Linked DNA regions of Mus musculus: all the other regions are reported to be linked to region 3. The links are microRNA targets in miRTarBase. Many come from high-throughput screens and were not tested one by one. Region 3 holds a microRNA gene; each other region holds the end of a gene's coding sequence. Distances are between the middles of the regions.
The links. The annotated mature microRNA mmu-let-7b-5p reads UGAGGUAGUAGGUUGUGUGGUU and lies in region 3 at 2,114-2,135, opposite strand. An mRNA with a match to its seed (bases 2 to 7 or 8) in the 3' UTR can be bound and repressed. Matches are read on the target gene's strand: a 7mer-m8 pairs with bases 2 to 8, a 7mer-A1 pairs with bases 2 to 7 and ends in A, and an 8mer does both.

Region 1 (7,209 bases), 17 Mb from region 3:
GGTGTGTACAGCTTTGTCTGGCCCTCCTGCCTTCAGGTGGATTTCTGGGTCACTCTTCAAGCTACTCACTGCCTCCCAGAAGCCCACGTCCTACGACTCTGGGCTCTTGGCTTCTCAGAGGAGTTAACTGTGGAGCTGCACACAGTGTGCGACTGTAACTGTGGTGATGCCCAGCCTCACGCTCCCTACTGCAGTGATGGACAGGGGGACCTTCAGTGCGGGATATGCAGGTGAGGGTTTTATGAACTCTGCTTTCTATCCTCCTGGAGTCACCTAGGTATCTCAGGAATCTACTTGAATGTCATACCCCAAAGCTTCCCATATATGCTAAGGCCTTCGCCTTGACCTGAATCCCCCTCCCCACCCTGACCCTTGGTACACTTCTATCTGAGTTTGTTTCAGCTGCTCTGTCTCCTTCTCCCTTGAGAACATGACCTTAGTGCAATGGTTCTCAACCTTCCTAACACTGCAACCCTTCAATACAGTTCATGCTTTAGTGACCCCAAACCATAAAATTATTTTCATTGCTACTTTATAACAGTAATTTTGTTACTGTTATGAATTGTAAATATCTCTGTTTTCCCATGGTCTTAGGGGACCCCTGTGAAAGGGCCACTTGACTCCCAAAGGGTCACAACCCACAGGTCGAAAACTGCCGGCCTAGGATATCTTGAGAGACAGGTCAGAGGTAATCAAACTCTGACCCATCTCTCTGCTTTCCCTTCCCAGCTGTGCCCCTGGCCGTCTTGGTCAGCTGTGTGAATGCTCTGAGGCTGACCTGTCCTCCCCAGATTTGGAATCTGGTTGCCGGGCCCCAAACGGGACAGGGCCCCTATGCAGCGGGAAGGGTCGATGCCAATGTGGACGCTGCAGCTGCAGTGGGCAGAGCTCTGGGCGTCTGTGCGAGTGTGATGATGCCAGCTGTGAGCGACATGAGGGCATCCTCTGTGGAGGTACCTAGAGCCTTTGGGAGGAGGGAGAAGGAAGGAGAGCAGGGAGGGGTAGGAGGGGGAGTAAGGAGGAAGGAGAGAGAGGAGGAGGGAGGGGGAGAAGGGAGTAGGAAGGTGAGAAAAGAGGGGGGAACAAGAGGGAGGCGGAGGAGGAGGGTTTTCTAGGGCACTTACAACTCTGAGAGCAAATTTCAAAGACTATAGTATTGAGCCAGAGGATGTGCCTGGCACAGCTGACACAGACTGTGGAGGCATACTGTGCCAACTGTGTGTGAGAATGGTGGTCACCCTCTGCACGGTTCTTCCCTAGGCTTTGGCCACTGCCAGTGTGGAGTATGTCACTGTCACGCCAACCACACCGGCAGAGCTTGCGAGTGCAGCAAGAGTGTAGACAGCTGTGTCAGTCCTGAAGGAGGGCTCTGCAGTGGGCACGGATACTGCAAATGCAACCGTTGCCAGTGCCTGGATGGCTACTACGGGGCTCTGTGTGACCAGTGCCTAGGCTGCAAGTCACCATGTGAGCAGTACAGGTGAGGCCTCTCGCCCTTTACCTCGGGATCTGGGGCAGGGAGGCTTGCTGGGAATTCCTACCTGCCTGTTCTCCTTGAGGGTGTGTGGTGAGGGCTGGTGGGTAACAGCTGCCCAGATGTGAATCCACTGACTGGCATTCACCGGACAGGGATTGTGCAGAGTGCGGGGCATTTGGTACCGGTCCCCTGGCAGCCAACTGTAGTGTGGTCTGTGCTGACGTGAATGTGACCTTGACCTTGGCCCCTAACTTGGATGATGGCTGGTGCAAAGAAAGGACAATAGACAACCAGCTGTTCTTCTTCCTGGTGGAGCATGCAGCCAGCGGGATCGTACTGAGAGTGAGACCCCAAGAGAGTAAGTGGGCAGAGACACCATGTATATGATAAGTGGAGCTTACCAGGCAGGACCTCAGAACTGGGGATGTGAAAAAGATAAGGGTAATGGGTTTGAAACAGTCACCAACCTAGGGCAAAGGCAGAGATGAGATGAAGGCCCTAGGAGGGAGGACAACCTTGGGCTCTGCTGGGTCCCGTTCTCAATGACAGGGCTGGCTGGGGAGGCTGGACATCCTTTGGGTAGCTGTGGGTCAGCCCTTAAACCTTGGCCCCACCAGAGGGAGTGGATCACACCCGTGCCATCATACTGGGCTGCACAGGGGGCATCGTGGCAGTGGGACTAGGGCTGGTTCTGGCTTACCGGCTCTCTGTGGAAATCTACGACCGACGGGAGTACAGGCGCTTTGAGAAGGAGCAGCAGCAACTCAACTGGAAGCAGGTGAGGCCAGCGACTGCTGCCACAGGCTGGGCTTTCCTGGTGACGTCTCTTAACTTTCTGTATCCCTAACACATAACCAGCTCTAAAGCTTCCCCGTGCAAGTCCCTCCCTCGGCATAACCAGGCCTCGGAGATCTGGCCTCGTGGGGCAGGTAGTGGGGAGAGCCTGATAGTTTTCCTTACTGTGTGCAATGTTTTCCCACAGGACAACAATCCTCTCTACAAAAGTGCGATCACAACCACTGTCAACCCCCGCTTCCAAGGGACAAACGGTCGGTCGCCATCCCTCTCTCTGACCAGGGAAGCAGACTGACTTAGGATTCTTGTCTTGGAGGACAGTGGAGATAGAAGGGCAGGGCAGCGTCTGTCAGGCAAAGATGCTGCCACCGCTGAGATTTTTCAGAGTGACCTTCAGAGGGCAGCAGCCATTCCCACCACACGAAGGGCTGGTCCTTCCATAATAAAGCTTTGCCCCAGACTTTGAGCCTCTACTTTACTTCACTCCGGGACAAAACCAGAAACAAACAACAAACCAGACTATGTAGGCCTCTCACCTGAGCCAGTGGCAGAGCCTTGGAAGCCAGAGGCACCACCTTCGAAGGGACCCTGCCTAGCAGGAGTCAGCCCTGATTATGTCTGACTGTTGAGAGTCCCCTCCCTTTTTTTTTTTTTTTTTTTTTTTTTTTTAGCATCAATGACTTTTGCCTCTACCTGATGCTTCCCTCTGGAGAAAAGAAGTCTTAACGGGGCCCGTCGACTCTGCTGCAAGCCGTGGGGTCCTGAGGGAGGAAAACCACCCCACTGAGACCACTCTGGCCTTTGGAGAAAAAGCTTCCCCAACAAATCAAGTCTTCTCAAAGAGGACATGGAATGTAGAAAAGCGCCATCCTTTTTATTTAAATATCCTAAATATGTCACGAAGGAACATACACTGCACTTTAATGGTAAAAAGATACAAGTTTATAACATCTTATAAAAACTACATTAAAAGTAATCTTGTCCATTTGATAGTTCCCCTCCCCCATAGCAAAATAAGTATATTTAAAAAAAAATGGAGCACGGTAGGAGGGGAATTGAAGATAAAAGCCCAGGGCCACAGCAGGGGCAGAAGGAACCTGGGGAGAGGGCTCAAAGTGTGGTCACCCCACTTCTCTAACCCTCTATGTCAAGCCATGAAGTACAATCAGTAGCTAAATGACAAGAGGCTGTCAGGGACGGATGGGAAGGGCAGGCACCAGCAAGGGTGGGATGGGACGGCCTGGTGCAGGAGTCCATCCAAGGACCGGTATTACTCTCCCTACCAAACCCACATCCACATTCTGATGTCTGAGCACCCACCTTCTCATTTCCCCTTCTACACACACCTGAGACATCTGTCCAGTGCTAACAACCCACCCCAGCAGAGGGGGGCATCAGGCTCAGGAGCCTTTGCAGCTGTCTGTGCATTCCCCCAGGGTAGAGATGTGGCTTCTGCCCAGGCTCTTGGCTGTTGTATTACTCTCCACCCCAGAGCCTGTCTGTCCTTACCCACTGCCAGCTTCTGAGCCTCTCACACCTGGCCTTGGCAGTGTGGTTCTGGGTGGGCTGTCTGTACACATCCAGTTCTCTCTCACTTCTCTCAGCTCCCACCTAGGCAGAACGCCACTGTCTGCAGGGCCTGCTCTGACCCAGGAAACACATTCATACTTGCAGAGGCACAGGCCACTCTGCCAACTTTCAGCACGAACAGATCATCTACGAGTGGCAGGGAGGGATTCCACTTTCAAAAGCATTTCTGGGAGGATATCTTTCTCAGCGTATCCTCTTTCCCAGTGACAGAAAAATCCCAGCCCAGCAGAACCCTCTAACAGCAAAGGGTCTGTGCATCACGAACATGGATGCCCAGGGGCCACACGGCGGACGAAGGTCAGAGGCGCAGGCTTTACAGCACGTTAGAGGGACAGCAGGGAGCCAGAACACACGGCAGGCTGTCCTCTTCAGACCTCCTCTCAGGTGCTATCAGAGGAAAACTGAAGGCTGAGACATTCTCCCTTCTCCCCTTAAGTTGTGGTGGACCATCTCCCAATACACTGGAAGAGGTCTTAAGGTAGGTTGCTGCCTGGCTCTCATTTGCAAGTCAAAACTTCTTCCTGGAGGCGGCCAGCTCAGATTCCTACCCACAGCTGGAGTTGTGTGCTCAGGTGTAACCCAAAGATTACACCTGAAGTAGGCCTCAGGGGTCCTGGAGTGCTCAATGAAACCCCAAGGTCTCCCTTAAGAATCCTTTCTTTAGCAGAAGTTATCTCACTTTAGAAAGTACATGTTCAGAAGCCCTGGCTTAGAAACACTCTGATCAGTACACGGTTAAATCAACCTAACAACAATGAGAAAAAACCCTCAACATTCTTCTGAAACAAGCCCCTCTGTTCCCCTGTTCTCAGCAAGAACAAGGGAGGCAGACGTCCTTCAGGTCTGGGTGGGAAGGCTGCCCTACGTTTTTCTGTCCTCCAAGTTGGTGGCCGAATGAATTTCAGTCAACAATTTTCACCCCTTCCAAGCAAAGAAACACAAGCATTCACAAATCAGACACACACACTAATCCAATCACCTTTCCAGGGGTAGACAAGATAGAAGGGTGTTATAACAGAGTAAGGTCAAGAATAAAGCAGACATTAGGTGTCTTCCTGCAATCCTTCCTCTGAAGCACCCCCCCCCCCCCACTCTGCAGGGATGCTATCAGGAGGGAGCCAAGGTCGGTTCTCTGAGACTGAAGACCAGACCAGACCAGACCTCCATCTCCTCTACTTGAACAGGCAGAGGATTCTGACAGGGAGAGGGCTCCATCACACAAGTCCCATAAGGACTGTCCCAATTTCTGTTTTTCTCATAGTTAACAAAACTTTGGACTATCCTTGTTCTAAGAGGACACAAAAGGACAGCATACTCTGATACCCACAACCCCCTGCTCAACTGTGCCTGGGTTCTAGAGTCAAGGACAAGCGAGGTAGCCACAAACCACAACCAAGACCAACTTCCCAGAAAAAAGAGCCAAATGGGCTACGGAACCCAAGTCCTCCACAAGGCACTTGAGCTGATCCCATCAGGCCCCAGTGCCACACAAACCATGGGAACACCCGTGACACAACACCGCTCTTCTTGAGGAGATAAGAAAAGGTATGCCTACGCTTCTTGTCCAGCCCACGTCTGTCCTTCCCAGTTTCTCCTTTTGTCTTCACAGTGTATAAGAAGTCCAAGGAAGCCCAGCTGCCAGCCCCCTTCCTATTTGCTTTCAAATAGGCGGGCTGTGGAACACCGAGGGACTGTGGTGACAGACATGGCCAGGCCAGCCACAGTCCTTGATGTGCTTCAGGACTGTCCCCTCCACATTACCTGTATCCCCGGTTTACCTGTTTAAATTGCTTTTGGATAAACAAAAACAAAAGCAGAACCAACAAAAACCCCTCCCCGGTCCTTTCCATTTTAGCTGCCAGTTCCAGTCCAAGGTTGTGGGAACATTTCAGTCTTGGTCCTGCACCTTTGAGTCCCCACCTCATCTCAGCTGAGGTTCAAGGACCAGCTCCCTTGCCCAAGAATGCTGCAGGTGTCCCTGGGATACTCATAGCCTCAGACTGGTTACAGAGTTGGGGCTTTGGAGCCGATGTCCTCAGACGCTCTTCTGCTAACCTGGGGCTGGTCCTCTAGGAAGGGGGACAGGTTCAGAGGGAGTGGTGGTGGGACCGTCAGAACACAGGGCTATGCTCTTCCAGAGACTCTCCTCAGCACTCCCACCACCTAGGGCCCCTTGTGCCTATAGAGAAAACTGCCCTTCAGAAGTCTTGGACTGGCATCCTTGGCACATCCGTTTGTGTCTGAGTAATCGGTCTGTCCGAGAAAAACACTGTGGAGAGAGAGGATTAAGTCACTAAGAGAAACTCAGTCTCATGTTAGTAAGTTCCTGTCTCAGAGGGGACATACACTGTGTTACTGTTCCCTTAGCATCTACACAGCAGAAACACGCAGTGGATAGGAAAGCTAAAGCTTGTTTGTGCTAGGCATTGTGTCAAATGCCTGTGATCCCAGAACTCAGGAGGCAGAGATAGGTACGTAACTGTGAGTTTAAAGCTAGCCTGGTCTACATAATGAGTTGTATGTAATACAGCCAGGGATAGTTAGAGAGACTCTGCCTCAAATAAACAAACAAACAAAAAGAACCAAACTCTGGTTCAAGGGGCCGGGGATGCAGCTCAGTCGGCAGACTGCTTGCCATACATACACAGGAAGCCCCGGACTTGACCCCCACCTCCAACCCCACCCCTAACTCTATAAACTGAGCATGGTGGCATACACCTGCAATCCCAGCACCTGGGAGCTGAAGGCAGGAAGAGCAGAAGTTCAAGGTCATCCTTGGCTACGTGGCAAGCTGGAAGCCGCTGTGAATTACTTAAGACCCTATCTTAACAATGGGAGGGAGGCTTGCTGACAGGAGCCTGAAATAGCTGTCTCCTGAGAGGCTCTGCCAGTGCTTGACGAATACAGAGGTGGATGTTCACAGCCACCCATTGGACTGAGCATAGGATCCCCAATGGAGGAGCTAGAGAAAGTACCCAAGGAGCTGAAGGAGTCTGCAGCCCCATAGGAGGAACAACAATATAAACTAGGCAGTACCCCCAGAGCTCTCTGGGACTAAACCATCAACCAAAGAGCACACATGGTGGGACTCATGGCTCCAGCTGCATATGTAGCATAGGATGGCCTTGTGGGACATCAATGGGAGGAGAGGCCCTTTGTCCTAGGAAGGCTCTATGCCCCAGTGTGGGGGAATGCCAGGGCCAGGAAGGGGAGTGGGTGGGTTGGTGAGCAGGGGTAGGGGGTACGGGGTGGGGGGAGGGTGTTTTTCCGGAGGGGAAACCAGGGAAGGGGGATAACATTTGATATGTAAATAAAGAAAATATCCAATTAAAAAAAAAAAAAGAACG
Region 2 (7,209 bases), not on the chromosome of region 3:
GAACATAATCCTGTTCGCTGTTGGAAATTAGTGTTGGTGCCCAGAGCTTTCTGTCTGACATCACATTGCTACCATTGCCTAGCCTGGAGCAGGGTCTTGGGAAACCTTGAGCTAAATGGAAAGAGCTGAGGCTTGGGGCTGTGACATGGTTGAGAACGAACATTGGCCGTCAAAAATAGATTTGGGGTTTGAGGGTTTGTTTTATTTCTTGCTACACCAGGTAGAACCCAGGATGTCATGAAAGCGTGAGTCAGATGTGGGTTTGCTTTACTCGGCTGAGGGCTGTCTGAGTGGTGATGCAACACTTATTTTGTCTCTTTGAGCCTTGGCTTCAGTTTTGGTTTTTTTGTTTTTGTTATTCTGGTGGTAAGAGGATGAGACAGGATTTCATTCTGTAGACTAGGTTGGTTTTGTTCACAGCAGCCAGGAGGCTGGGATCACAGGCATGGCTCACCATGCCCAGCTGACTTGAGTAAATTGAAGCATTTGAAATGAGATCATGTCTAGGCGTGCTCAGTGGTGCCGATGTGCTGTGGAAACTGAGCAGACAGTGCAGAGACATCAGGTACAGGGCTGGCTGATCCTCCTGGGACCTTGTCATCAGACATGTATTGAATTTCAGAGAGCAGAATAGCAATGACGTGGGCTGGGGTGCAGCTCGGTAGTTGAGAGCGTGCATAGCAGGTGTGAGATCAAGTCCCATCATCAGCACCAAAGACAGACAAAGTGCCGATGCTTCCCATTGTGTAGTATCTTCAAGTCTAAGACAGCACTGTCATGGCCAGGTATACTAACATTTCCCAATTGACACACAGGAAAAGCTAGGCATGGGGCACCTTCCTGTAATCACAGTCCTTGGGATGCTGTAGCAGAAGATTGTCAGGAGTTCATGGCCAGCAACGTGGAGATGCACATCCTACCAGCGGTGTAGCTGCCAACCTGGGCAACATAACTACACCTTGTTTGAAAACAGAAAACAAAAATTGGCAATTTTCATGCTATGCAAGATAAATAGGTCAAGATCTGCTAGTTTCTGCCAGATGACAAGAGGCAGGCAGTTCTTATCTGAAGGATGCGTGGCTTTCAGAGCCTTTTGAGGTTTAATATTACAGTTAAGAGATTGCAGGCTTACTGTTTTGGGTTAAGTGGTATTTGTTTAATGTGGTTACTACTCCTTTTGGTTTCTCAGAGTGCATTTCCTCATCTACTACATCTCGTACACGAGACTCAGGTTGCTGTGAAGTTAGGAAGCTGTAGGCTCATCAGGAGTGCTGTGCTTGCTCAGGAGGCTGATCACCTCTCAGCCTCTTGGCTCCAATTGATGATAGAGTGTTTGAGGCCAGTTTGAACCATGCAGGGAGACCCTGTCTCAAAACACAGAAGGAAAGAGAAGAAAGCTGACACTCAGTGCCTGCTGAGGTCATTTTTGCTTATTCTCTCCCTTCCTGTCCTCACATTCCCCCACAAAACACCCAGGAGTCAGGATCTCAGCAGAGCAACATCTTTAGTGCTATGGAGACTGGAAAAAAAGAGGGAGGCACAGAAAGGGGGAGATTGGTACAGCTGTGGCCATCAGCCACCGAACATCCCAAGGAGGAAGTACCAATCCTTTCCCACCTGTGCATAATGGCACGTGCCTGTAATCTCCACAGAAGCAGGAGGATTTTAGATGGTAAGTCCTAGGCTAGCCTGGGCTACCTAGTGAAATGTTGTCTCAAGTAGTATCTGGGTCCTTGTCTGATAGTCCATTTATCTTGGTAATTGACAGAACTGGTCATTTGTAGGTGAATCTTGTTCCCCATGGTTCCTTGAAATACAGTTGACCTGTGTATGTCTCTTGAGTGCTGAGAGGCTTTGAGGAGTGAGGTGACACGTGAGGGTGGCTAGAGGCAGGCACTAGGCAGCCAGGCATGTTGAGTCACTGTCCTTCCTTTGTCAGCAGCATGCAGGTGCCGCCTCTCCATAGGCTGCCTGGTGACTCATAGCTAAGAGAATTGAAGCTGGTTTCTACCTTGCTGGGAAGGGCTGGCTAGAATTGAACAGCACGCTGCAGCCCCATGGCTGTGCTCAACAGTCACTGTACCCTGTGTGCGAGCACTGTGAGTTCTCTCTGACGCTGTGGGATTAGTGTTGCCCTGTCTGTACACTTTACATGCCGAGGCTGTCCTGTGCTGAGGGTAGGAGTCGGGTAAGTGTCGTGTCATGGACATACATCTCAAGCCCGTGACATTACTTCCTGTGTTCTCTGTAGAGCTGGTGGCGTTGAGATCTATAATGGGGATCGCAAGATAAAGGTTTCCAACACCCTGGAAAGCCGGCTGGACCTGATAGCCCAGCAGGTGAGTGCAGACTCTGGTTACGTGTCGGCTGGCACTTACTGCAGAGAACTCAACGCTGATCTTCATGTCTCCACATTTGTACACTGAACCCAAGGATACAAGCCTAAAGTGCTGGTCATCTTCCAGACATGGGTTAACAGTTTCTGTTGACTTTCTTAATCCCTTATTTAGGAGTATAGTTTCAACTGGGTGTGGTGGTGCATGCCTAGAGACAGGCAGATCTCTGTGAGTTCGAGGCCAGCCTGGTCTACAGAGTGAGTTTCAGGACAGCCAGGGCTACACAGAGAAACCCTGTCTAGAAAGAACAAAAACAAACATACAAATACAGAGTAGGTTAGCCAGATGTGGTAGCTGATTGGGAGACTGATGGAGGGTTACTGTGAGGCCGGTCTGAGCTGCAGGTTGGGACCCTGTCTCCCAGAGAGTGCAGTATGCTGAAATGAAAGTGCGTGTCTTGTAGCCAGAGCACTTGTGCATCATCTTCAGGAGGCCTAGAGCTAGTTAGCCCTCTGTGCTAGCCAGTCCTGCAGATGGGGAGTTAGCGGAGATGAGAGATAAATAGCTCAGTGAGTAAAGTTCTTGCCTCATAAGCTTGAGGAGCTGAGGTCTCCTGGGAGGCTTCATCCATCAGCAGCAGATGCAGAGACTCACAGGTAAACATCAGCAGGAGCTCAGGGAGTCTTGGGGGAGAGTGGGGTAGGGGTGAGCAAGCTGGAGGGGTCAAGAACACCACAAGACGACCCACAGAGTCAACTAACCTGAGACCATGAGGGCCAGAGTGTGGCCACCAACCAGGGAGCATGCAGGAGCTGGACAAATGTGCAGCTTGGTCTCCATGTGAGTCCCCTAACAAGTGGAGAGGGGACTGGCTGTCTTGGTCTCTGTTCCCTGCCATTGGACCCCTTTCCTCTACCTGGACTGCCTGGTTAGGTCTCAGTGGGAGAGGATGTGCCTAGTCCTCATGGGACTAGCTGTTCCAGGATGGGGTTCCTGTTCTCCAAAGAGAAGGGGAGAGGGCAATAGGAGGAGGGATCTGTAAGGGTAGGACGGGGGCGGGGGGCTGTGATTAGGATGTAAAGTTTATATAAATATATAGAAAAGGAAGGAAGGAAGGAGAGAGAGAAAGAAGCCACATAAAGTCAGGCATGGTGACATGTTTCTAGTTCCAGCCATGGGGAAGCAGATGCAGGAGGATTCTTTGGGCTCGTTGGCCATCTACCCTAGCTGAGTCATGCAAGCCCCAGACCAGTAAAAAGTGGATTGCTCCAAAGGAATGACATTTGTGGTTGTCCTCTGGCCTCTCTCGCACACATTCAGTTCTTTACCAGTACCTAAAGCTGTATTTGATGGAGCACAGTAAAGAAACTGCTGACATGACCCTTCCATGATAATGGTTAAGGCTTTTGTTGTAGAAACGAGAACAGCCAGAGGCATCTGGAAGAGTCCAGAACAGAAGGAGAAAGACGTAGACTGGACATGGTGAGGGCTAGCACAGTGGGTGAGAAGTTCCCATGGAGCTATCAAGGGAGACTGTACAGTGTGGGAGGACAGAAGAGATCTGTGAGAAAAGTGGGGCAGAAGGGAACAGATGGCTGTCTGGGAGCTGAGAAAGGCTAGGATGGCAGTGTGGGTTTGAAATGTGTAACAGCTACTTGGGATACTGAGGGAGCCTGGAGGCCTGCAGGGGCTTTGACACACAACCTATATCCCTTCTGCCAGAGTGGGAACTACTTTCACAAGATCCTGAGCAATGCTGGCTTTTATCAAACTTCCAGACCATTGGAGTGCCTGAGACCCCACAAAAGCCAATGTGGTTACTCTTAGGGGTCACACTCATCCTTGTAACTCTCTGTCAAGACATCAACAGACTCCATCTAAGTGCCCTTTGCAGCCAGTCCTGGAAGGGGTTCACACACTCAGTGTCACAGACTGAGTACAGTAATGACTTCAGGTCTTTCCCCTTTTGTGAGCATAGTCTGACTGCTTAACTGTCTGGCACAGTGCAGCAGATAGGACAGGTCTGATGTGCTTAGCAATGTCCTTTCCCCACATGGTGTTAATATTGTCTGCAACTTCCCTGACTGAGGTCCTGATTTACTGACTTCTTTACAGATGATGCCAGAAGTCCGTGGAGCCTTGTTTGGTGCAAATGCCAATAGGAAGTTTCTGGACTGAGCTTCAGGAGGAGCAGTTCCCCCACGGCTGTTCTCCTGGAGAAGCAGATTATCTGTGTGGCTTCCTCTTTCTGTTCTAATACTGGTAATCAGTGGACACCCTCTACAGCTAATGCCCTCGGCTCAGTGTCAACAGCAGGGCCACTTGGTGTGGGCAAGAACCCAGCCCCAGCTCATCTGAGGCCACAGCTGTTCACTGGGTTTGCAGCAGGACGGGAGGGTCAGATGTGCTGCACGGCCTCACCCAGGACCCATTCTTTCCCTGTCCTGCTCTAGTCTAGAGTGAGTTGTGCATGCTGTCCCTGCTCTTTGGGCATAAAGTGCATGTGGGACTCACATTCCTCCAGGAACACTACCTTCGCTGTTACTGTTTAGGTCTAGTCTTCCTTCTCTGTAAATGTGATTTAAAATCTAAGCCACAAATATTCTTTATTTATTAAAACAGAGGGCTTATGTGGATTTAGTTGTTGTTCCTTATGTAAGGCACCGAGTTTGTGATTTGAGAGTAAGTTCCACTGGGCACGGTAGCCCACACCTGTAGCCCTAGCTGTGGTGGGAGGATTGTTTGGGGGCAGCCTGGGCAACAGGAAGATCCAGAGAGGAGCTATCCCAAATCCCTGCCGTACATTAACCTGCCTGTCCTGGAGGCTGGACAGCTTTGTGTGTGTGTGTGTGTGTGTGTGTGTGTGTGTGTGTGTGTGTGTGTGTGTGTTAGCAGTGGGTGCCAGAGCCTCATAGGGAAGCAGATGCTGCACCGCTGAGCCATGCCCCGCAACCTGTGGCCTGTGCATCTTTGGGGTTTTACCTATCTTGTCTTAGAGAGAATAAGGCCGTTTTCAGATGGATTATCTGCATGTACATCGGCGTACTCCCCCAGACCCAAGTTTTACGTTAGGTGGGACTAATGGAGGTTCTTTTCAGTTTTGTAGTTTGGCAGGGTTGCATACAGTGTAGGCTGGCCTAGAATGTGCTCACTGATGTTATGACCTTCATGTTTCCTATCCTCCCGTCCTCAGCTACTAAGGACTGGGACTATAGGCACGGGCCACCATGGTGTTGGGGGTGGAATCCTTTGCTAACTGACCTGTGTACCCAGCTCTCATTCCTGTTTTCTTAGGGCCTAACATCATTTGTGTGGCTTCGGAGAAATGAATTGAGGGCCATGAGATTGGGTTTCTTGGTGTTGACATGGCCATGAAAGGTAGAAAGAGGTGAGAGTCAAGGGTAGGAACTGGAGCCAGCACCTGCTGCTCTTCCGGAGGACCTGAATTCAGTTCTTAGTGCCGTGTCTGGCAGCTCACTACCACCTGTAACACAGCTTTAGGAGGTCCAATGCTCTCTTGGGGGTTACAGATACACAGACATGTAAATTAGTAAATAATTATTTTTTAAAAGCTGAACTCTTTCAGTGTACAATTTCCCCCCAACCACTCTCCACTCTAGAACAGCAGTTGGAAGACAGTAATGAACTGTCTGTGGGGCCCAAGAAGGCACAGCTTGACTCTGCAGAATGACAGTCATCTGCTATGCTGATTACAGGACAAGGATTTAACCAGCTTTATTTCAGATCATGTCCCACAAGCATCTATTGGAAGGGATCTGGGCCCATACTTCAGGGTGAGTATCTGGGGCAGGACCGCTGCTGAGGTGGCCAGAATGTTCATTCAGGCTCTCAGACTATTGCTGATGCCCGCGAGGGCACAGGTGCACTTCTGATCTGTTAGGGCGGCAAGGTTAGGATTGACGCTAAACCCTCACAGGACGATTCTGTGCCACACTTGCCTGCAGTGGGGATGTTAGTGTGGAAGAGCCCTTCTGTCTTACTGCACACGGTCCTGCCATAGTACATAAGAGGTTGGGGCTTCCGAACATCTCTGGTTCAGAAAGTTTAGTTTTCATAAAGGAGATGAAGGCTCTACTCGCTTAGTAAAATGGGTCATTTCTTCTGAGGTAGCACTACAGGTTAGAGACCACGTACGTCAGAGCCAGCATCTTATACTTCCAGCAGTGCCACCTAGTTCCCTAGGGCCAGAGGTGACAGCAAGAAGTGACACATAGATTACTCAAAGCACTTCAAGATGCGCTCTCCGATGCCAATGAAGTAGACGCCCTGGGCGATCCCAAAGAGGGGGGCTATGACCAGGGCACGGCAGCCTGCTCCTTTCATGAAGGCTGCTGGCCCCTCCTGTGTCCAGAGCTTCCTGTGAAGGAAGAAAGGAGAGCTTGGTAGGTGAAGGCTACGCACACATTTACTCAGGACTTTCTGTTGTTGGATTTGGGGAGAAGGTCTCTAGGTGTAGCCCAGGCTCTCCCTGGGCTACCCTCAATCTCCTGAGTGCTAGGCTTATAGGATTACAAGCTCTGAGGCATCAAGTCCACAGCGTCTCCACACTTTGAGACAAAAGCTCACTAGTTCAGGCTGACCTGTGGCCCTCTCAAGTGCTAGGCCAAAGACTGGAGCCGTTAGATCCCATTTGGCCAAGTATCTGCGCGCCACCTTTAGACTGTATTGTGAGAGAGGAAGCTATTTAGCAATCCCAGATTTGTCTGCCATCTGGTGGGAGGAGTGGGGAGCAGCAGAGACTCATGGGAGAATCGGAAGCTCCCATTCTCTGTAGCATTCTCTGAGAATCGAGGGCCAACACATTCCAAGGCAGTGGCAAGTTCTGCCAGGAAGCGCATCTTGAGCTGGGTGG
Region 3 (7,443 bases):
TCTGGGGTGCCCTTGAATCCTGACTCCACCCTCTAAGTGGAAGTGTTTTGCTTCCTTTGTAGGTTGTGGAAGTGGGGAAGTGAGCACAGGGTCTCCCTGGGCTGAACCACTCCCCTGCACCCCAGAACTTCCACTCTGCTGAATGCTGTGTCGTACCCACCCTGATCCCCACATGCACCCCTATCTCTAGTGACAGTCAGTTGTCAGAGAAGAGCCAACAGAATGTAGAGAGGGGCACAGGACATGTCAGAGGTCATCTTCCAGGAAGCTACCCTGACTGCAGAGCACCTCAGAGCTCTCGGATGCTCCCACGCTACCCCACTGGGTGGTCGCCGTGTGTCCTGTCCTGTGTCCCTAGTACTTGAACTCTGCAGAGCAGAGGCCATCTCCCACTGCAGCATAGGAGCCAGGAGGTGGGTGTGACTGGCCAGCATGTCATTCTGCTTGCACAGACACAGCTGGCTGTGGTAGCCAGAGGGTGGGCCTGTGTGAGGGTGAAGGGTTGGGGGCTGGGCTGTGCAGAAGAGTATGGAAGGTAGGCTGTGTGATGGTTTGTATATGCTTGGTCCAGGGAGTGGCACTATTAGGAGGTGTGGCCTTGTTAGGGGAAGTATGTCATTGTGGATATGGGTTTTAAGACCCTCACTCTAGCTCCCTGGAAGCCAGTCTTCTCCTGTTTGCCTTCGGAACAAGATGTAGAACTCTCAGCTCTTCCTATGTCATGGTATTCTTCTGCCATGATGATAATGGACTGAGCCTCTGAACCTGTAAGCCAGCCCCAATTAAATGTTGTCCTTATAGGAGTTGCCTTGGTCATGGCATCTGCTCACAGCAGTAAAACCTTAACTAATTCAGCAAGGGATGAAGAGTGGGCAAAGCTCTGCACAAGGGAGGGGAGGAAGGACTACTCCTCTAGGGCTGGAGGCATAGCAAGAGTCAACAGACTTCACCACTGACTACAGGATAAAGAGAGGTAAAAAGGTGACAATTTATCATCCACCATCGATGTTCCAAAGGACAGCAGGGAGGAGACAATGGGGCATGCCACGGAGTGTCTGAGTGTCCACTCCTGTGTCTCTAGCTGCCAACTCCTATACAGCCATCAAGACCCAGCTCAGATAGCCCCTACTTTGGGAAGCCATCCCTGTTGCTCTCAGAGAGTACTCAGAGAGTCCCTCTGGGTACTCTCAACCCTGGGGCTAGCACAGTATCAGATCTTTGGAAATGGCTGGCTAAGTTTGAGAGGTCTGGTAGCTGAGGGTGGATATAGAGGGGCTCTAGGGGTGTTTGGTCTGCCTAGGTGCGTCAATGGAGGTGTGTGGATATGCAGAGTTGAGGCAGATTGGGTTCAGGACGGGAGCTGGGACTCGGGGGATTCATTATGGGGAGAAGGCCAGGACATCAGGGTCAAGGTATCCACCCACGAGGGAGGCCTTTGGTGTCTGGTCAGGTAAGACTAGGACTTTACCTTCCTAAGCTAACACTAGCTGAGGGCTGACCCTCACCCCACTACCACCACCTGAATGAAGGCTTGGGGTCCCTGGAAGAAGGGTATATGACCATTTGGCCCAAGATTAGAAAGCTACATCCACAGCCGTCCCAATACTGTCCCAAGGGAGGCAGGCACGAAGGGACAATAGGCCAGGAATTTCTCAGATCTGGTTAGGACCACAGGCTGAGGGACACTGGAAGCCAGTACTGTGCTCTGAGACTTGGAGTCATAGGGTCTGTTGTTCCACTCATGTGGAGGGGCTTGGGTGTCCAGGGCTTGGGCCACTAAGGGGCACATGGAAGATGAGGGGAGGGTACTGTTCACTACCCAGAGCAGCTCTTGCTGGCAATGTTTCATGCATGCAAACGTGTCAATGTGTGGTTGGCGATCTCATGTCCTCTACGGCCAGTCTCCGTATTTCCAAAATGACCAAAGACCAGTTGTAAGTTCATGACAGAACATCCTTTATTTATACCCAGGTCCCACGTCATAGCCCCCACCCAATCTGTGGCTCCATTTAGCTTGCTGAGCGGGGGCCTCCATGTAGCTGTGTCCCTGGGCGCCTCAGGGAAGGCAGTAGGTTGTATAGTTATCTTCGGAGGGGCAACATCACTGCCCTGAAACCACACAACCTACTACCTCACCCTGCGGTGTCCGTGTTCTGGAGGAGGCCCAGCCGCTCCCCACCCACCCTGGCCACAGGCCACTAGAGCCATAGGGCACAGGGCGGGGTGGGGGAGGGGGAAGTGGAGACAGAGGTTCAGTGAGAAAGGCCTGTGCCTACCAAACAGATTGAGGAAGCCTCTGGTGTCTGAACCCATTGCCCCAGGGACAGGGGACAGTGGCCTACACGGTCCATCTGCAGGCTGTACTCATGGGTGTGCTAAGAATGGCTCCTTTTCAATTTCTTCTCGGAAGAGACGCTTGCTCGTCAGAGGCCTGACCCTGCGCTGGAAAGCCTGGGCAACTCTGGAACATAGTTGAAGGTCTAGTCCAGACCCTCTTTTCATGGAGACCTGTGAGCACAGGTCTGATATGGGGCCAGGGGCAGGAAGGCCCCTTCAGTGTGGGCCAGGGAGAGAAGGTGCCCTGAAAATGCTGTCTGTTTTCATCGCTATGCCCCAACCCTTATACAGATGAGTAACAGCCCAGAGAGGTCAAGGGACTATCCAAGGTCTCTGTCAGGCTCTTTTTGCATGGTAGTTATCACCCCCCTGTCCCTCCCTCAGTCTCCCCAGCCAGGGCCGCCGTTGTATCCACTGCAGATATTGCGGCCACTTCAGGAAAGACAGTAGATTGTATAGTTACCGCAGAGCGGGGCAGAGCCCAAAACCATACAACCTACTACCTCACCCCAAAGGCCGTCAGTCAGTCTTGGCGTAGAGCTGGATGTTGTGGCTTCTTGAGGTCCCTCCTAGAGGAAGAAGGAGAGCTGGGGACATGGTGAGCCCCACCCCCCACCCCCGACACAGGCCGCTCAGTGCTGAGGGTATTAATAGACTGGGATTTTCTCAAAATGGGCCAGGGACATTTAAACAAAATCACAGAGAGAGTAAGGGGAGACGGGGAGACGGGGAAACGGGGAGAAGAGAGAGAAAGCACGGGGCACTGAGCACAGGAATGGCCACAATGGGGGAAGGGTGTCATTTGTTAAAGGCCACCAAGGTCCAGGGTGCTTCCAGTGTCCACCTGGCTGAGACCCAGCCTCTGTCCACTCAACTCTAGCGTAGTAGAATCACCAGGACTCCTGCTAAGTAGTAGCCTTGGGCATGTACCCTCTTCCCCTTAGGCAGGAAGAGCCCCCCCCTCGTGGGCTCTGGTTCTGTCCCTCCCTCTTCTCAGGGTGGCCTGAGCTGACCTTGCTGGGGGAGGCTCAAAACAGTCTTTCCTTGTGGGAGGCAGCCTAACTCCCCATGGTGGCCAGCCGGGCGCAAGTGCAGACCCTGGCTGGACACTCATGGCCAGTCTGTCCCTAACGACTAGCACTTCCAGAGGCCAGCAGAGATCGCTGAAGAAACTGAGGCTCAGTCTCTGGTCTCAGGTAGCTCTGCTCTCAGAAGGGAAAAAGACCTGCTTCTTTCAGGCCTCAGACCGGTTTGCCCAGCATGTGGAGGGAAGCCCTGTGCCCAGACCTAGGAAGCCAGGCAGCTTTTGCTCTCTGCATGAGCCCTAGCGTCTACTGTCACGCCTCCTTTCCTCTCTGCCAAGGGTCAAGGGACAAGTCCAAAACTCCTGGGTCAAAATGAAGCCGTTAGGTCTAAGTCCACATTGTGGCCCCAGATCCGGAGTCTATGGGGCAGAGGAGCTTAGGAACAAGGTTCCCAGAGCGCTGGTGTGGCCTGGCCCGTGGTGGGCAGGCCTGTGATGATAGGAAACACTAATCTTCCAAGCCCCAGAAGGAAATCTGAGCCACTGGGGTGCCATCCCCTGCCTCAAGCCTGGACCCTTTCACTAACAGGCAGGTCAAATACCCTCAAGGATGGTCCCTGCAGAGGCAGCAAGGCAGAAGAGGCGTGGGAAGAGAGTGGTGAAGGGCCCCTTTGGTGATCCTATCTATGATGGGTGGCCCAGGTGAGAAGGCTGAGGGGTGTCCCACACTGCTTAGCCTCTCTGTAGGCTTGACTGGCCATGGTTAATCTCGTCGGTTCTTAGGCTGTGCCCGGATGTGGTGGAATAGCTAGAGACCACATTGGTCATCTCCATCTGAGCCCAGCACCTCCCTCCCCCTCTCCGCCCCCAGAAGCACTTTGAAGGAGGAAAGAGGTCAGACATCAACCCCAGGTCTCTCAACACTTCGGGTTCTGCCCTTGGCTGTCAGGATACAAGTACGTGGGCAGGTCTGGCTGGAAGGTCGAGACTGGCCCCTCTGACTCTGGGCACCATCATGCATTTCCGTGGGGTCCTTTTGGCTGGCCCCTGGGGATTCTCAGCCACTCTACTTAGCAGCAGGAGGCCGGTGTATGCCACTGTGTCAGCCCCAAAGCGCCTTTTCTGCACTTGGTGAGCCTCCCTGAATCTGGGCTTCATTGCAACAGAAGCCTTGCAGAGCCCAAGCTATGGTAGAGAAACACCAGGACACAAGCACCCTAGTTCTAGCAAGGACAGTGGGCCACCACGCACTGTGCCTTAGCCCAACACGGGAACAGATGTGCCTCTGTCTCCCTCATCTGGCCTTTCTCTAGGCAAGACCTTCTGGCAGATCCTCCATTGATACCAAGTGGCCTGGCCTGGGGGAAGCAGGATCACACTGGGGGGATTAAGTGATGGTGCCCGGGGTACAGAGAAAAGAGAGGGACCTCATGCTGAGGTCCCCAGAGGTCTCTCAGGGCTCGGTGACCTTGTCCTCAGGTTGGGAGGCTACGTCTCTTCCACTTGGAGCTGGTGATGAATGGAACTGCACCTCTGTTAAGCCATGCCCAGTCTAAGTAGGCCGATACGGGGTCAAAAGTCACCATATCATATCATGGGTAGATGTGTCATCTGGGGTAGATTGCTGGGGGGTGGGGTGGGGCACAATACTGAGGGCAGGGGTTGGGGGGAGCACAAAGCCTCTAGGTAAAGACATCTAAGCTGAGGGCAGGTCCTGGAGCACTGGCAGGGATGTGCCTCTGACCCTAGCCTTCCTTACTCTCAAGTCTCCCTACTTTCCAGAGGAAGGACATTGGGGCCCTACTTACCACAGGGAAGCCATAGGCATGCAGAACTTCCTGCTTGGTTCCACTTCCTGACCACCTTGGGGGTTAGAAACAAAAGCAATGATCATCAACTTCAGAAGGGAGAAAGCCTGGCCCCTGGTGGCCTCCCCTGGCCACTCCTTAAGATCCTATAGCACAATGGCATTTTCATCCAGTCTGCCTTTTGCCTGGTGACACTTTGCATGCAAAGCCTTGGATGGAACGGCCTCTAAGCTCAGCCCTGTGCTGGGCATGTGGGTCAGAGACTATGCTCCAACTTCACCCATGGTGGGCAAGCGTGTTTTTGTGGGTGGCCAGTGGCCCGCGTGCAACTTCCCTAGGACATAGGGCAAATGGGGCTTGAACTCTCCCAAAGAGCAGAGACCCAGAGAAAGGGCTCACTGGACTACAGACTCACACCATGAATCAAGTCACTATCCTACCTCCCTCGGGCCCAAATCATCATGGCAGAGCCATTAGTAAGACAGAAGGAAGGCCAAGCAGGGACATGGGGACAGTGAGGGAGAAGCCTGGCCAGCTGAAGGGCTCTGGAGCTGAGCCTGGGGTACAGAATATGGAGACAAGGATCTGCCCACTTCTGTCCGTCAAGCCGGAGTGCTTTGTTGCAGGCCTTGTTAACACCCCCCTCCCCCAACCACGACTCAAGGATGGGAAGATGAGCCCATTGGCTACTGAGGGTCTGGTGAGGACACACAGGGTGGGAAAGCCCCCTCCCTGACTACCAGCCTCGCATGGGCTCCCAAGACAGCCGAGCTATCTGTCACGCTGACACCCTTTCTCGGATCCTTCCCACTGCGCCCATCAGCCCTGCCCCCAACCCACAAAGCCTCGAAATGCCCTGGGCAAGCCTCCTCTGCCCTCCTTGGCCATCTCCCAGGTCCTTCCCACCTCCTGGCTTTTGCTCTGGTCTGTCCGTCTGCCAGGAACCGCTGACCTGTTTTTCCTGTTTCTTTCCACAAGGCTCCTGCTCCCCGGGGGGGGGGGGGGGGGCAGGGGGGTGCTGGCTCTGCTCTGGTGAGGCTGACCCACAGGTGCCTGTCTTAGGCCGATTCCTCTCACAGTGCCTCTCCACACTCTGGTGGCAGGCATGGCTATCATGGTCTCTTCAGTTCCAGGGCAGCTCTACTCTACCTGTGGGGGACTTACGCTGGTTCCACAAGACTTCAGGGAGGGTCACCCTTACTGGATCTCTGGTCATCTCTAGAGCCATTTGTGAAGGAGAAGGAAAAGGCCCAGTTCCATATTTGGGAAGCGTTCCGATGTGTCAAGCCCACCTGTGAAACAGCCTGGCCTCGGGCCTGGGGCTTGGGACCCACAGAAATGACTCCTTTCTCAAGGGGTAACAAGGAAGGGGTCCTGAAAGAGACTGCAGGGACCCAGTGGGGACAGGCTGGAGGAGGGCCAGTGGCGGGGCGGGCAGGGAGTGAGCAGTCAGCAGACGCCCTGCCATCTGCCAGCCGCCACCTCTCAGTCCTGTCCCAGTCCTGCAGTGTCTGCCTGGGGGAGGAGCCAGGCTGGCCAGGACAGGTGTGCCAAAGGCCTAGGCAGGCAGGTGGCCCTTTCAGGGCTGGGCGGATGTCTGGAGGGAGAGAGGCAGACAGACAGTGTCACCCTGAAGTCACCTCAGGCTTGGCTTGGGGCCACCAAGAGCCAGACCCCCCCCCACAGTAACCCCCCCTCTCTTGGCTTCCCTGATTAGGTTTCTCCCATAAAGCGGCCAGTGTCTCTGCTCAGTAGGCCGTGCCAACAGCGAGTCTGGGAACGGCGGGAGGGGGTTGGCATCCGGCTGGGCAGAAGGCGGATCTCCTTGTGAACAAGGCCCATAAAGTTAAAAAGATGCACGCTCACTGGGTAGGCATGGGTCGACATGCCAGGGGGCAGGCCATGCCCAGTGGGCACCATCTTGGATCTAGCTAGGACAGGCATGTTAGGGGGTGAACAAGAATCTCATTCATCAAGACAAGTAACTTTGTGCGAGGTTTAGAGAAATGGTTAATGCAAAAGCCCCCTAGACACTACAAAGATCACATCTGAGTGAAGATGACCTGGGCTTTGCGGAGTCTCCCCTGGCTTCAGACTGGAACGCTCTGGCAGGTGTGTGGCAGAGTGCTGGACAGGCTTGGGTGCCCTCTTCCAAGCACGGACCAGTTACGCAGGGTCACACCCAGAGCTGGCATTGATATGCCTTCCACCTGGCTCTTGTAGCCTTACACACCTCATGATGGTCCCATGCTGGATCCGATCTGCACTCGGCTC

Region 1: miRTarBase lists Zfp740 as a target of mmu-let-7b-5p. Seed matches in the 3' UTR shown: 7mer-m8 at 5,235-5,241.
Region 2: the mRNA of Slc25a18 is a reported target of mmu-let-7b-5p. Seed matches in the 3' UTR shown: 8mer at 6,460-6,467.

What each region holds. Positions count from the first base shown.
Region 1 is chr15:102,211,518-102,218,726 of GRCm38, reverse strand. Zfp740 (zinc finger protein 740) reads right to left here. Exons shown (of 8, transcript NM_001289691.1): 8 at 3,117-6,131. The coding sequence ends at 6,042. Itgb7 (integrin beta 7) reads left to right here. Exons shown (of 15, transcript NM_013566.2): 10 at 37-230; 11 at 730-953; 12 at 1,261-1,480; 13 at 1,630-1,835; 14 at 2,095-2,255; 15 at 2,460-2,732. The coding sequence ends at 2,567. Among named protein-coding and RNA genes, the nearest start is that of Csad, 10 kb to the right of the region's middle.
Region 2 is chr6:120,793,007-120,800,215 of GRCm38, reverse strand. Slc25a18 (solute carrier family 25 (mitochondrial carrier), member 18) reads right to left here. Exons shown (of 10, transcript NM_001081048.2): 10 at 6,234-6,714. The coding sequence ends at 6,573. It overlaps Atp6v1e1 (ATPase, H+ transporting, lysosomal V1 subunit E1), which reads left to right. Exons shown (of 9, transcript NM_007510.3): 8 at 2,252-2,339; 9 at 4,452-4,972. The coding sequence ends at 4,514. Among named protein-coding and RNA genes, the nearest start is that of Slc25a18, 23 kb to the right of the region's middle.
Region 3 is chr15:85,702,017-85,709,459 of GRCm38, reverse strand. Mirlet7b (microRNA let7b) reads right to left here and starts at 2,141; the gene lies at 2,057-2,141. Lncppara (long noncoding RNA near Ppara) reads right to left here and starts at 5,687. Exons shown (of 2, transcript NR_110483.1): 1 at 5,170-5,687; 2 at 1,936-2,906. Mirlet7c-2 (microRNA let7c-2) reads right to left here and starts at 2,857; the gene lies at 2,763-2,857. Gm34622 (a long non-coding RNA gene) reads left to right here. Exons shown (of 3, transcript XR_384306.3): 3 at 1-589.